Schizosaccharomyces pombe: one gene and its partners. The gene in region 2 interacts genetically with the main gene of each other region. Each region holds a gene or a part of one and is shown on either strand. Other genes may lie near its edges.

Region 1 (5,426 bases), on a different chromosome or scaffold from region 2:
GGGAGCACGTTCACCATGTCGAAATATGACTTGTAAATATTTCAGTTGCAGCTGTTTTGGATAATCGACTCCGGGAACTGAATCCGGGAATTTAACAGAAGCTGAAGACATTTGAGACATGGCGGCTAGGAAGTGGTTGATGATGCTGGATAAGAGCTGCTGTCAACTAAGGTCTCAATGCTTGAACATCATCGCAAAGCTCATATAAAATATGAATTACTGAATATTAACGAAACGACACTATTTGAAAATTAGTTTTGTTTATGAAAAGAAAACAATAAAATATAAAGTTAATTCAATCTTAAAAAACTGTTAGGAAAAAATTAAAATGAAAGTCATTATGAGATATAACAAAAAAAAAATACCCAGACAGGGTTTCTCTTTAGCTTTCTCAATCAAAAATAAAAGATAAAAGACGCAACCACCAAAACTATAGATAGGTTTAAAAATTTTAATGAGTGCAGTTAAAATAGGAGAGACAAGAAAGCTAGAAGTTCAATATATTAATTATTGTTCAAATATACATACAAATTTGTCATCATCATTAAAATCATGTATACCAACAAGCCCCAGTAAGCCTCTCAAATTAACCATCTCTGTTAAGAAAATCAATTAAACCATTTTTGATAGAGAAATGATTACGTTTAACCATAAGCACATAGAAAATATCTCTGGTTTCACCAGTATAAACAGCGTTTCACAAAAAGCATCACCAGATTAAGTATAACCTACATGTTTTGACGTTAAATTATACGCCAAAAAAGAAGGGAATTCAAAAAAGTTATTAACGCTACCGTAAATTTTTACTGATTCGAGATCGCTCCAAGAAAAAATTTGATATATCTTCCTTGGTGACAACCCTATTTTCACGAGCAAATGGAGTGAGGAAGTCCGTTAGCTCAGATTTTAAGCGATTATACGCATAAACGCTTTCGTTAGCTTGTACACGAGGAAGTCTGTCCAAAATACGAAGGACATCATTCATTGTGCTAGATATGACTTGCTCAATCATTTCTCCAGATTCACTGGGATCCTCATTCATCTCACTGATTCCATCCTCAGAATCCTCAGGAGGTTCGTAAATAGGTTCTTCTGCCACCAACATTGGCATCTCCAAATTACGCAAACTGATGCAAGATTCACAAGGGCACAAATTTTCCCTAAAGTTTTCTGAAAGAAATAGAGGCGCTCGTTCTGTACCAGCTATGCTTTCATGCTTCTGGTTTAAAAGATGATCGCGGTATTTTTCTGAACATTCTGAACACACCAACCATTCAAAAGTCTCAGCATCTGGGATTGCAATTCCTTTATTAGTTTTCTGCAGACACTTTTCGTGAAACCAATCTTCGCAAAGGATGCATTGAAACATAGTTCCTTCCTCTGTCTCTGGATTATACACCGTATCACATATGCAAAATCGCCCTTCGAAATTATGATTATAATCATTTTCTGAGCCACATTCATCAACGGATTTCCGTAAATTACAAGGTATGGAGTGGGTTCTTGTGGTGCCACAATCACATCGAAAATGTCGTTTATTGAATAGGTCCACAAGATCATGGTCAGCATGGCAGCTAATACTGCAGCTATAGCAAACAGCATTTAAGCTTCCGCTAGCTTTTTGACATGTCAAACAAGCGTATAAAGGTTGCTTCAAATAGCCCATCGAATAAGTGCACGTGTCAAAGCTGTAAGGCAAAACTTCTCGTGCCTCCCTTTCAAGCTCCCTTTGCTGTTCAACATATTGCTTAACCGTTAATTCATGAGCCGTTTCCTCCATAAGTTATTAAATGCAACTAAACGTTGGCAAATAGACGGCGTAAACAATTGCGAAGAATGTCTTTTGAATAATTCAAAACACTAACTCATTACGCTCCTCTATTTCATTTACAGGTATCACTACATTTTCCAATACAATTTAACAATATACTGTAGCATTTCTTATTCTTTCATCCTGCAATACTCTAGCTATTCAATGCATTAAAATAGTTAGAAACAACATCTTTAAAGTATTTGAGTCCAAAGATGGATTCTTTTCGGAAAAGGGGTCGCCGCGATTCTGAAAGTTTACCTTTTGAATCAGAAAATTCTTCTCTCGGTGCTACACCTCTTTCTTTACCTCCTTCTTCACCTCCTCCAGAATTCTCTGATGAAGCTGCAGAAGCTCTCGTGGAGGAGGATATTGAGGATCTGGACGGAGAAGCTTTAGATGTAGAGGATGAAGAAGGTGAAGATTTGTTCGGAGAAGGAATGGAACGGTAAGTTTTATAGCTATGCTTGAGACGTGTCTTGTCAATGTTGTGTATACTAAGTGTTGCCATCAATATATAAATTACATACTATTTCTTCTCCTTCTTGTAAATAAATATATTTATTGGATTCCTAGGTTGCGGTTATATTGACAGAACAAATCTTGATTTTCAAAAGAGTAGTTTCACATTTCGCGTCAAATAAGGTACTTTTTTCTAACTGTATAGTGATTATCAACAAAATTTGGAGCTAGATCGTTATGACATTGAAGAACTAGATGACGATAACGATCTTGAAGAATTAGATATCGGGGCCCGAAGAGCTGTTGATGCCAGGTTGAGACGACGTGATATTGAGCTCGATGCTGCTGCAGGTAGAACAAAACCTGCTGCATTTTTACAAGATGAAGATGATGATTTGGACTCCAATCTTGGCACAGGCTTCACTCGTCATCGACATCGAATTTACGACGAATATTCACCTAATGTTGGCGCATTGGACGAATCTGGTGAACTTCCTCTTGAATCAATTGCCGACGTAAAGGCCGATAGTATTGCCGAATGGGTTACTCTTGATCCTGTTCGGCGTACAATTGCTCGAGAATTCAAAAATTTCCTTCTTGAATATACAGATGAAAATGGCACCTCTGTATACGGTAACCGTATTCGCACATTGGGTGAGGTTAATGCTGAGTCGTTGATGGTTAATTATGCCCATCTTGGTGAATCTAAACCCATTTTGGCTTATTTCTTGGCCAATGCGCCTGCACCTATTTTTCGCATATTTGATCGTGTTGCTTTGGAAGCCACTCTTTTGCATTATCCAGACTATGAAAGAATACACTCTGATATTCATGTTCGTATCACTAATCTTCCTACTTGTTTTACTTTACGCGATCTACGACAATCCCATCTTAATTGCCTTGTACGGGTATCTGGTGTCGTAACTAGGCGCACTGGGCTTTTTCCACAATTAAAATACATTCGGTTTACATGTACCAAATGTGGTGCTACTTTGGGTCCATTTTTTCAAGACTCTAGCGTTGAAGTAAAAATTTCTTTCTGTCACAACTGTTCCAGCCGTGGTCCGTTTGTAATCAACTCTGAACGGACTGTATATAATAACTATCAAAGGATCACTTTACAAGAATCACCTGGCACCGTCCCCTCAGGTAGACTGCCTCGACACCGTGAAGTTATTCTTTTAGCGGACTTGGTTGATGTTGCCAAACCAGGCGAAGAGATTGATGTTACTGGCATATACCGCAATAACTTCGATGCTAGTCTGAATACCAAAAACGGGTTTCCTGTCTTCGCTACAATTATAGAAGCAAATCACATATCGCAACTTGACGGCAGTGGTAATACTGATGATGATTTCTCTTTAAGTCGGCTTACTGATGATGAGGAAAGGGAAATTCGGGCATTAGCAAAGTCGCCTGATATTCACAACAGAATTATTGCATCGATGGCGCCTTCTATTTATGGACATCGCTCTATCAAAACTGCTATTGCTGCTGCTTTATTCGGTGGTGTCCCCAAAAATATTAACGGTAAGCATAAAATTAGAGGTGATATCAATGTTTTATTGTTGGGAGATCCAGGAACCGCCAAATCTCAATTTCTTAAGTATGTTGAAAAAACGGCACATAGGGCTGTCTTCGCCACAGGTCAGGGTGCCAGTGCTGTTGGTCTAACTGCATCCGTCCGTAAAGACCCCATTACGAATGAATGGACTTTGGAAGGGGGTGCTTTGGTTTTAGCAGATAAAGGTGTTTGTTTGATTGACGAGTTCGATAAAATGAATGATCAGGATCGTACTTCTATTCACGAAGCCATGGAACAACAAAGTATTTCTATTTCTAAGGCGGGTATTGTGACTACCTTGCAGGCGAGGTGCACTATTATTGCTGCCGCTAATCCCATCGGTGGACGTTATAACACTACAATTCCTTTTAATCAAAATGTTGAGCTGACCGAACCTATTTTATCTCGTTTTGACATCCTTCAGGTCGTCAAAGACACGGTTAATCCTGAAATTGATGAACAGCTAGCTAATTTTGTTGTATCAAGTCATATTCGATCTCATCCTGCATTTGATCCGAATATGGATGTCTTGAAGAAAGTCCCTACTGAGACTGGTATTGATGCCAAACCCATTCCCCAAGATCTTCTTCGTAAATATATCCATTTCGCTCGTGAAAAAGTTTTTCCTCGATTACAGCAAATGGATGAAGAAAAGATTTCGAGACTTTATAGCGATATGAGACGCGAGTCACTGGCTACTGGAAGTTATCCTATTACTGTGCGTCATCTGGAGTCTGCTATCCGTTTAAGTGAAGCATTTGCAAAAATGCAGCTCAGTGAGTTTGTGCGCCCTTCACATATAGACAAAGCCATTCAAGTGATTATTGATTCCTTTGTGAATGCCCAAAAAATGAGTGTTAAACGAAGTTTGTCAAGAACATTTGCTAAATATCTTATTTAATTTTTTGACACAATCAGTTTATGGAGTCCAGTGATTTTGATTTCCCCGTTCTTTGACCCTCCTTTTGTTACTGCATCTGTTGCATATATCTATCCTTTAATAATTTGCAATCAAAATTTGCTTTACATTTTTATACCTATCTTTACATTCATTCTTTCTTAGTTTTCAAAATGTCAATCTAAATTATTTAGGTTAATAACACTTGTTTTGAATATCATTATTGACTATTCGCTATAGATACTAGGTGTATAGATACTTTCTCCGCTGTATCAATATTATTAGCTGTTTCATTAAAGAGCCACTGCCCATGTGAAATGACATTTTTTGAAACAGCTGAGGTTTTTTACATATAGAGCTAAATTGTCCATTTCCAAATTTAAAGGGAAGTCAACTTTTGACAATCGGAAATGCATCCAGTTCATATCTGATGTTCCTGAAGAATCTCAAATTTCACACTTTATTATCTAAAATTATTTATATCGTGTTACTCTTTCAAATCAGTCTTTTTATTTGGTATATATTTTGCCCTACCCTTACCTACTTATATTCGTACATCCACCAAGTAAACTTGACACAAAAACAAAATGGCCTATCCCGGGCAGTTTGGAAATTACGGTAATCCTGAGACTTATAGGCAAAATGTTGCTGGCAATATTGCTTCATATGGGGGCCCTGAAATTGACACTCAG
Region 2 (4,336 bases):
TAATTCAATGGGGCTGCCAACTTTGTACGGAAAAATTGGAAACAGAAATCAGACTAGGATTTATTACACGTTACTATTGTTAGGGGTTTTGATATTTTATATGACTTGGGGTATTACTGATTTTAATAATCATCAAGACTTTGAACCAAGACTGGTGCCATTAAACTAAATAATAAAAGACTCCGGCTTCATCTGTGACTTAGCAAGGCGACATACTAAACCACTTAACTGCAACAAGGTTTGCACACCCTCTAAAATAATCATATGAGTTTGGCCAATTTCCTTAAGCATTTCTAATCTTGAAAATTCCGGAATACTGTCCATTGTCTTTACTACTCTAAACATATTAGTGACAATGTCCACAGCACTGAACCCCAAATCCCATATTCCCTGAAGTTTTTCAAGGGCGACGTCGATGTTTCCAGATTGACAAGCAGTTAGCATGGCATGTATCGCTACAGGTGAAGGCTGATCGGCGACCCGGAAAACGTTTTCACCGTTCACAAGACCGAATCCAGCAACAGTGCTCTGTAGATTGTTCACTGCTTGACGCATATCACCTTCTGCTGTCATGATAAGGGCAGCCAAACCATCATCTGTATAATTGACTTTTTCCGCTTTACATATATTCAATAAACGCTGTAAAACCTGTTGATCCGTAAGACGTGAGTATCGGAGAATTGCACACCGCGATTGAATAGGTTCAATAATTTTGTTGGATTGATTGCAAGCAAGTGCAAAACGCGTTGTATTACTGTAGATTTCCATAGTTCTACGCAAAGCTTGTTGAGCTCCAGCCGTCATACTATCTGCTTCGTCTAAAATAATGATCTTATGCCTTCCAGGTGGCAGTATGACTTTTTTCTGTGCGAATGCTTTAATTCTATTTCTCACTACATCGATACCTCGTTCATCTGAAGCATTTAATTCTAATACACCTTCCTTATATGCTGGGCCAAGTAATGCATGTGCTAAACAAAGAATAGACGTCGTTTTTCCGATACCAGGCATTCCCTATAAATATAAGTCAGCATGTAGTATAAATAATAATTAAAAAAAAATAGGTTACCGAAATAACTAGATGAGGCATATTCCCTTCCTTGGCAATAACTTTAAGTCGGTCAATCGTCTCCTCGTTACCAACAATGTCATCCAGGACGATTGGACGATACTTTTCGACCCTATAAGTTTATAGATCAGCATACTATATTATATTGAACCTTTAAATTATGAAAAGATGCCTGAGTCACCAAGAAGCAATCGTAATAGCTGAACACTAAAACCTTCATAAAGGACGTTTTAATTGCTCATAATATATACATACCATGGCAGCTCATAAGCTACAGAGTTATTTTTCTCTCCAAATACTGATGATGATACTGCATTACTCATATTCAGTGTTATTGAACTAGTAACATCAGTACTGAGTTCCAGTGAACTAGTAAATTTGTTGAGTATTTTAACCACTGCATGGTAGTCACTTCACCCATCGCGAATAGAAAAGAGCATTAATATGTAAATCTGAAAATTTTTTTTATTCTTAAATGCACTATCAAAGCTAGCTTTAAAATATATGTTTGTACAATCGACACAAATGATGAAAACAAGCACATCAATATATTTATATTATTACAAAAACGATCAATAATCTGTAAAATTCTAATATTTTTCTCTTTTAAGAGTAGTAATAAGCAATAGATAACTCTTTAAATTCACGCCTTCTGTTTCTTAATAAATTAAGCTTCTTATTAAGCGAATTTATACAGCAATTAGTACATCGTTAGGTATATGCAACGCCATAGAAAAGGGTACTTAAAGTCAATCCGCTCACGTGAAATGAACATTGCACATTGCAATATCAACATCTTTTATCATTACTGGTTTCAATAGGTTTAAAGGATAAAATTATATATTTATAATATGGTAATTGCTTTATCTGATTCTTTTATCGAAAATCCAAGATCGTTTCTTCAAAGATTTCAGGATGCATTGTTTGCAGGATCTAAGCCCGATTTACAAGGCACTTTAGGCATCGATGAAGAAGTTTCTAATATTTTCGCTACAGAGGAAAGAATAAGAAAGGTTTGTTAAGTGGTTTTTTCTCTTATTTGACACTGAATATTTAGATTCCAAACTATCTTGACTGCAAATGGTCTGAGTTAAAGACTGGTCAACTACTTCGTCTTCAAGGTATGGTGCAAGACACCAATTTTGGGCATGAATTTTTTGCTGGAGCTGTAGAGGTAAATGAAAACATTTGGAGAGGCTGTAGATACATACTTGATTTCAGCGAAGATGAAATGCATTTAGATGAATCTAAAATTGTCCTAGATGAAAGATATTCACTGTTTCTGACAAATGTTCCTGGAGAAAGAACTCTTCCTGTTATAGAAGCTTTGGGAAACTGGGGAAGCGAGAGTCTGAAAGAACGGTCATTGAAGTACTCAAACCGCTTACAAGCAAGTAATGATACCGGCGTTTGTGTTAAATGCTATGGCGGAATGGAAACTAAAGTTCAAGTTTGTCAAGCAATCGATGTTATTGGAATTTATGAAGAACCAAGTGAATACTCGGATGGTTTACCCATTTTACACATGTTATGTTTTAAGGATTATACGCAATCAGCTACTCAAGCCCCTTCTCCTCAGCAAGCTGAGATCATTCGACCAAAAATATTAAAATATTTTGAAAAAGTCCTTGGTGAAAATATAGCTGCGGAAAGTCTTATGCTTGCTCTTCTTTCCAACGTTGTTCATAAAACCACTGGTTTGGTTATAGGTGGTTTTACTTTAAATTTAACAAATTGCACCTCTGAATTAGTGTCCCAGTTAGTTTCTGTGTTACGGCCTTTGATAAAAAGAATGGTGATTCAAAAAGTTAATGTCGCCGAGCTTAACAGGAAGCCGCTTTATCCCTTGAGTGATGGAGAGACATTAGATACTAGCCATTTGCAAGTGGCTCCTGGCACCCTTATAGTTCTTGATGAAACTGAACTATCGAGTGGAACCTTAAACGATGTCGGATGCCGTAACGTTCAGTTTTTGTCTTCCCTAATATCTCAACAGGATTTAACATTTTTTTATCCTTTCAGTTCTTTTACCGTTCACAGTAATGTTCGAATAATTATATTAAGCCATGGAAGATCTATTTTGCCAGCTGATGTCGGTTGTAGATGTAGAGGCGATTCTCCGGACACTATTGAATTTCCAACTGATTCGGATGAGCTGCAAGAGTTTTGTAATTTTTTTCACATGTGGAACATGCGTGCTAATATTCCCGAAAACATGCTGGATTATATTCAATCTACATATGTGAGCTCCCGTCAATATAATAAAGAAATCAATGAAAAAACACTTTCATTACAGATCAATTGCTCTCGTCTCTACGCGAAGAGTTTCGGTCGTCAACTGGTTTCAAGAATTGATTTTGAGGCTGCCCGTAGTCTAATCAATCATTGGACTGTCAACTGATTGATCGCATATTTTCTTATAATCAACATCATTTAACCAATGTTAGAAATTACTTTTCATGTCTTTTTGGAATTTCCAAGTTAATTTCCTCATTCATTCGATCAAATTCATCAAAAGTTCATTTATATTGTTATTTAATTATTACTACAAGTAAAGCTCACTTGCCCGTTTTTTTTTTGTTTTCTTACATTATCACATACCGCACTGCCATATACTTCCTTATCTTCAAATATTAAATTCAAGTTTTGCCAACCAGGCGTTTGCAGAGATTCAAGGAATAAATATAATTCATTGTATTTTTAGCTAAAATTTGATTTCTTTGTCTTTCAAATACCTATACGGAAGCAGTCATTGCATATAACATATGTGTAAATCGACGGTTTAGGCAAGCAGTCTAAAAACTCAATGAACCAGGCGAACTTTTTACAGGAGCTTCCAGTAAGCCCAATAATAAGATATTTACAAGTTAACTAACAAAATGAATGTTTAGAATGTACTAAAGCGACTGGAAACTGGTCTTATTATACCTCAACTGAAAGATATACTTCGTGTTTTTGGACTTCGTCTTTCAGGAACAAAAGCTGAGCTCATTACCAGAATTAAACAACTAATAGAGAGGATAGCTATAGAAAACAACACAACCTCTTGGGAAGCATTGAAAAAGGCAATCGATGGCGATGTTACAAGTGCCGTATGTATCTTAAAGTACAACACATATCAGATATATAGTGCTGCTGCTCCAATTGCTCCACCTAGTTCAGCTTCTGGAAATAGATCATACAGCCGTCCTTTCGCCCCAGTTGTTCATTCGCGAATACGATTTCGAAAAAGTCCCTTTTATGACATTTTGGAACAATTCAATGCAC
Region 3 (4,757 bases), on a different chromosome or scaffold from region 2:
TAATCTTTCATAATCGTGGTACCTTGTGACATAAATTTTCAGTCATAACCATTTAAAGATAGTCCTTGATTATCTTTTTTTTTAATATTCCTATTAGCAAGACTTCACCGTTCATTAACAATATAAAAGGAACTAAAATATCATGTCGGATATAGTTTATGCCAACGTGTCTCATTACAACAAAATAGAAGCATCGAAATATGACAATCCAAGTACCTTGGCGATTTCCAAAGTGATTTCTTCAAAAATTTTACAGTTTGAAGACAATTCCGAAACCAGCCTAAGACATGATCTCCCAAAATATGATCAAGATAGGCTGCTTTTAACTTCGGATGATGATTTGACAAATGTAAATAATTTTTGGAAGAAAAGTGGTATGAGTATATTGGATTTTGCTTGTGGAACTGGTTTAATTAGCCAACACCTGTTCCCTTACTGTAAACAAATTGTTGGCATAGACGTTTCCCAAGACATGGTGGACGTTTATAATGAAAAATTTAGAAAGATGAACATTCCCAAAGAAAGAGCCTGTGCATATGTTTTAAGTTTGGATGATTTGGATGGCAACGGCGATGAACCATTTTCTACTGAATTTGATGCTGTTGTATGCTCCATGGCATATCATCATATCAAGGACCTACAGGAAGTGACTAATAAGCTTTCTAAACTTTTAAAACCTAATGGTCGATTATTTGTCGCAGATTTAATAAAGGGGGGTGATACTTTTCATGGTAATTTGCATCCTGATGAAATAGCTAAGCTTGGCGTAGCTCATCATGGTGGATTTACTCCGCAATCAATTTTGAATTTATTCAAAAATGCATCTTTGTCAAACGCTGAAGTCATTGGTAAAGCTCAGGCAAATGTGTGGGTCGATGAAGCTAAGTATCAACGGTCAACCCAGTCAAAAGACGCTAAAACCTTAGATTTAGCTAACGGAGAGAAGCTGTATGAGGTAAAATTACAGCTGATGGTTATTAGTGGTATCAAAACATGATCCCCTTAATTTTTAATTAGGGATAAACAAATGAATGGTCTGGGTACCCGATTTTAGAAGGTGAAGCAATCAGACCAGGAATTGCTTCATTTAAACAAGTATTGATGTCCATTAAATTGATAGCTTATGATAACTTATAACACTGTGAGTCCCGGTGATTCATTTAAACGAAACTACATACTGAGCATTCAGAAAGGACTAAACTTCATTGAAACGACAATTTCGAATATGATCAACCAAATATTATGTGGGATTACAGGCTTTTTTTATACAATACTGGAAATTTCGTTATATGATTTTTCTTCATAAGTTGGTTTCAAAAGAACTGGCCAACTGTTGTCACAAAGATTTTAATATTAAGCGCAAATTTGAATAGACAACGGAAACTAGGCAATCTCTTCCACCAAATGTAAAAAAAAGTTCGACGTTTAAAATTTAACTGTTCAAAATACCCCTTTTAAATAAGTTACTATATGCATTTGAATACTGTAGACACATCTTTTATGATTCTATATAGACAAATATCGTAAGTTTATATTATGTAAATGAATTCGTGATATCGAACGTGTATACTCATTAAATTAGCGCATCTATTTTAACCTTTTATTATTCAAACTGCAGTTATGTTGTTTACCTATAGCATGTGTAGTATAGAGAGGATTTAATTTTGCACATTATGCTTGTTTATGCACTACATTTTGCATCCTTAAACACATGTCCTTTAGATGTCCGCTAACTGTTTACATTCCTATATGTTTAACCGCGATTTTTAAGTATTGGAAAATAAGAATATCTTGTTAAAAAGATTTATAATTATTACTTGCTTCCTTTTCCAGGACTAAAGAATTTCCTGTTTTTGGCACTAAACTTTTCAACAATATCTTCGCATTTCAAAATACAAATGTGGCAGTATTAAATTTATCCTGTTATTTGTTTTGGCTACTCATACAATAGAGAAGAAAATTTTATTGATCAGAGTTTTTTTAATTTCCTGAAAAGCTAGTTTTCTAGGGTTGGGTTGAAAAGTTTCAGTATTCGTGAGAAATTGACTATATCTAACAGGCGGGGGGTTTTTTTTATCATTGACTTTGGAGGTTTAAGATTAAGAGGAAACCAAGTTTAATTAATGCAAGTATGCATGATCCCTTCATTGCAGAAGAAAATGACTTGGACCTGGAAGAAAAGAGGTTACAGAGGCAGCTAAATGAAATTCAAGAAAAGAAGCGTCTACGAAGTGCTCAAAAGGAGGCTTCTTCGGAGAACGCTGAAGTTATTCAGGTTCCAAGATCTCCTCCTCAGCAAGTTCGTGTCCTTACAGTCAGCTCGCCTAGTAAACTAAAAAGTCCCAAGCGATTGATATTAGGAATCGATAAAGGAAAGACGGGGAAAGATGTTTCATTAGGAAAAGGGCCTCGAGGGCCTCTACCAAAACCATTTCACGAACGACTTGCAGAGGCAAGGAACCAAGAAAGGAAGAGGAGCGATAAATTGAAAACGATGAAAAAAAATAGAAAGCAATCGTTCCAGAGGAAGCGAAACATACTTGAAGATGGAAAAAGTGAAGAGGAGAAATTTCCTATGAAATGTGATGAAATCGATCCTTATTCAAGACAAGCCATTGTTATTCGATACATAAGTGATGAGGTTGCTAAGGAAAATATAGGGGGAAATCAAGTTTATCTCATTCACCAACTACTCAAACTAGTAAGAGCTCCTAAATTTGAAGCGCCAGAAGTTGACAACTATGTAGTTATGGGCATTGTTGCCAGTAATAGTGGAACCAGAGAAACTGTGAATGGGAATAAATATTGTATGCTAACACTGACTGACTTGAAATGGCAACTGGAGTGCTTCCTGTTTGGAAAGGCGTTTGAACGATACTGGAAGATCCAGAGTGGTACTGTCATTGCGCTTCTCAATCCTGAAGTACTAAAGCCAAAGAACCCAGACATTGGACGCTTTTCTCTGAAGCTGGATTCTGAGTACGATGTACTTTTAGAGATTGGTCGCTCCAAACACCTTGGCTATTGTTCCAGCCGAAGAAAAAGCGGTGAACTATGTAAACATTGGCTCGACAAGCGTGCCGGAGATGTATGTGAATATCACGTTGACCTCGCTGTCCAGCGGTCCATGTCTACGCGAACGGAGTTTGCTTCAAGTATGGCGACTATGCACGAGCCTCGCGCACGACGTGAAAAGCGATTTCGTGGACAAGGGTTCCAAGGATACTTTGCTGGGGAAAAGTATTCCGCAATTCCTAACGCAGTAGCTGGTTTGTATGATGCAGAAGACGCCGTTCAGACCGAGAGGGAGCGCAAGGAACGATACAAAAAACAACGAGCGCAGGCTGAACGCGAGCGTGAAATTTTGGTGCGATTATCGAAGCGATGTTGCGCTTCCTCTTCGTCTAGCTCTAACTCGAATAACCTCTCTACGGGAATGTCGATGCGAACACTCGGCCATCAGTATCTAAATTTACAAGGTTCCGGCGTTAAAAATTTACATGACAAGGGTAATCCCACTGCTCTTTCTAAAGATAGCGAAATTGATTCATCGACGAAAAAACCATCCGTTCTGGCCTCTTTTAATGCATCTATAATGAACCCTAAATCCTCTCTACCATCTTTTTCTAACTCTGCTATTCTCGGCACTAACGATGCGGCATCAGGGACACCCGTTCCACAAGATACTACATCCACCAAAGTTTCCCCAGCGGTAGTGTTTACCTCTTCGCCGAGGATTTTTTCCCCCCAAAGTCTACGAAAAATAGGTTTCGATCCAACGCATTCCGCAGATGCATCTACAACGCACTCCACAGCGACTGGACTTTCACGATCCGGCTCCCTAAAAAATATCAAATTCCGATATGAATTTACTGAGAGTGATGATGAGGATGACTTAGAAATAGTTCCCTGAATTTTACGTTGTTTTTCTATACATTATGATGAAAATTAATTATTTAAATTACTAACCAACTTACTAATTAATTAGCTAGCTAATGGATATAGCTATGATTTCAAATGAATGTTCTTTTGTTTACATGCGACACACTTTGCTATCATGAAACTTTCAACCCTTTGTTAAACCTTTCTTCTAAATCCTAATCCTTAGTAAATCCCAATGGAATATTTGAAACGCTTATTAAACACAGTCGCTCTTTTCATTTGTGATGTCAACTGTTTGAATTCAATGTGCGAAGTCTCCCTTTTTTGTTCTGCTAGCTTCTCTCTCATACAAGAACGGCCGTTACAGCTTTTGACATCACATTGTTTATTAATCAAACGAACGTAAGCTTACTTTCATATGGTATGATGGGCTTGTAAGCAATACTAAGATAGCCAGCCAAACTGAGGTACTGTCGACACCTTTAGCTTACGATTGCTTTCGTCTAGGTATCGGACTTTACACTGCTAGTCGCCTATTTTAACGTTGCGCCGTATGGAACGGGTATCGCATTCTTATCAGTAAGGAAAGCTATCTGAATTCGTCACAAAGGAAAAGGCAAATAAATAGTCTAAAACTATATAAATGCGGGCTTCCATCTAAGAGACCTCGCCATCCAACAATTGTTGCGTCCCACCTAAACAGTGTCTAATCAAAGTCAATTGCGAGACATTCTAAAGTAAAAAGTTAATACATTTTAGCTACTACTAAATACTTCTTTTGATATTCTTTTTAGTGAACAATAAAGAATATTGGTTTGATCAACACGGTCATCTTCAGAAAAAAAATTTTTTATTCGTTGGTTTAATTAGTTAAG

The links. A genetic interaction does not mean that the proteins touch.
Region 1: mutations in mcb1 (region 2) and mcm2 are lethal when combined (synthetic lethality), as found in Schizosaccharomyces pombe (one study listed by BioGRID).
Region 3: mutations in mcb1 (region 2) and cdc23 impair growth when combined (synthetic growth defect), as found in Schizosaccharomyces pombe (one study listed by BioGRID).

Annotation. Positions count from the first base shown.
Region 1 is NC_003423.3:1,190,708-1,196,133, reverse strand, and holds mcm2 (MCM complex subunit Mcm2), read left to right. Parts: upstream 1-1,991; 5' UTR 1,992-2,025; coding exon 2,026-2,258; exon of another isoform or gene 2,259-2,477; coding exon 2,478-4,737; 3' UTR 4,738-4,926; downstream 4,927-5,426. Other genes in the region: SPOM_SPBC4.06 (acid phosphatase), read right to left, coding at 1-120; ubiquitin protein ligase E3 component mlo2, read right to left, coding at 791-1,780; COPII-coated vesicle-associated protein Sfb3, read left to right, coding at 5,322-5,426. UniProt on the Schizosaccharomyces pombe protein: Acts as a component of the mcm2-7 complex (mcm complex) which is the putative replicative helicase essential for 'once per cell cycle' DNA replication initiation and elongation in eukaryotic cells.
Region 2 is NC_003424.3:904,964-909,299, forward strand, and holds mcb1 (mini-chromosome maintenance complex-binding protein mcb1), read left to right. Parts: upstream 1-1,833; 5' UTR 1,834-1,920; coding exon 1,921-2,082; exon of another isoform or gene 2,083-2,126; coding exon 2,127-3,470; 3' UTR 3,471-3,836; downstream 3,837-4,336. Other genes in the region: rce1 (CAAX prenyl protease), read left to right, coding at 1-169; DNA replication factor C complex subunit Rfc4, read right to left, coding at 166-1,014, 1,070-1,181, 1,325-1,392; SUMO E3 ligase Pli1, read left to right, coding at 3,876-3,908, 3,961-4,336.
Region 3 is NC_003423.3:4,077,308-4,082,064, forward strand, and holds cdc23 (MCM-associated protein Mcm10), read left to right. Parts: upstream 1-1,749; 5' UTR 1,750-2,131; coding exon 2,132-3,913; 3' UTR 3,914-4,257; downstream 4,258-4,757. Other genes in the region: SPOM_SPBC1347.09 (hexaprenyldihydroxybenzoate methyltransferase), read left to right, coding at 143-997. UniProt on the Schizosaccharomyces pombe protein: Required for DNA synthesis. Required for entry into or completion of S phase. Involved in DNA replication and seems to participate in the activation of the pre-replication complex (pre-RC) and in transcription elongation.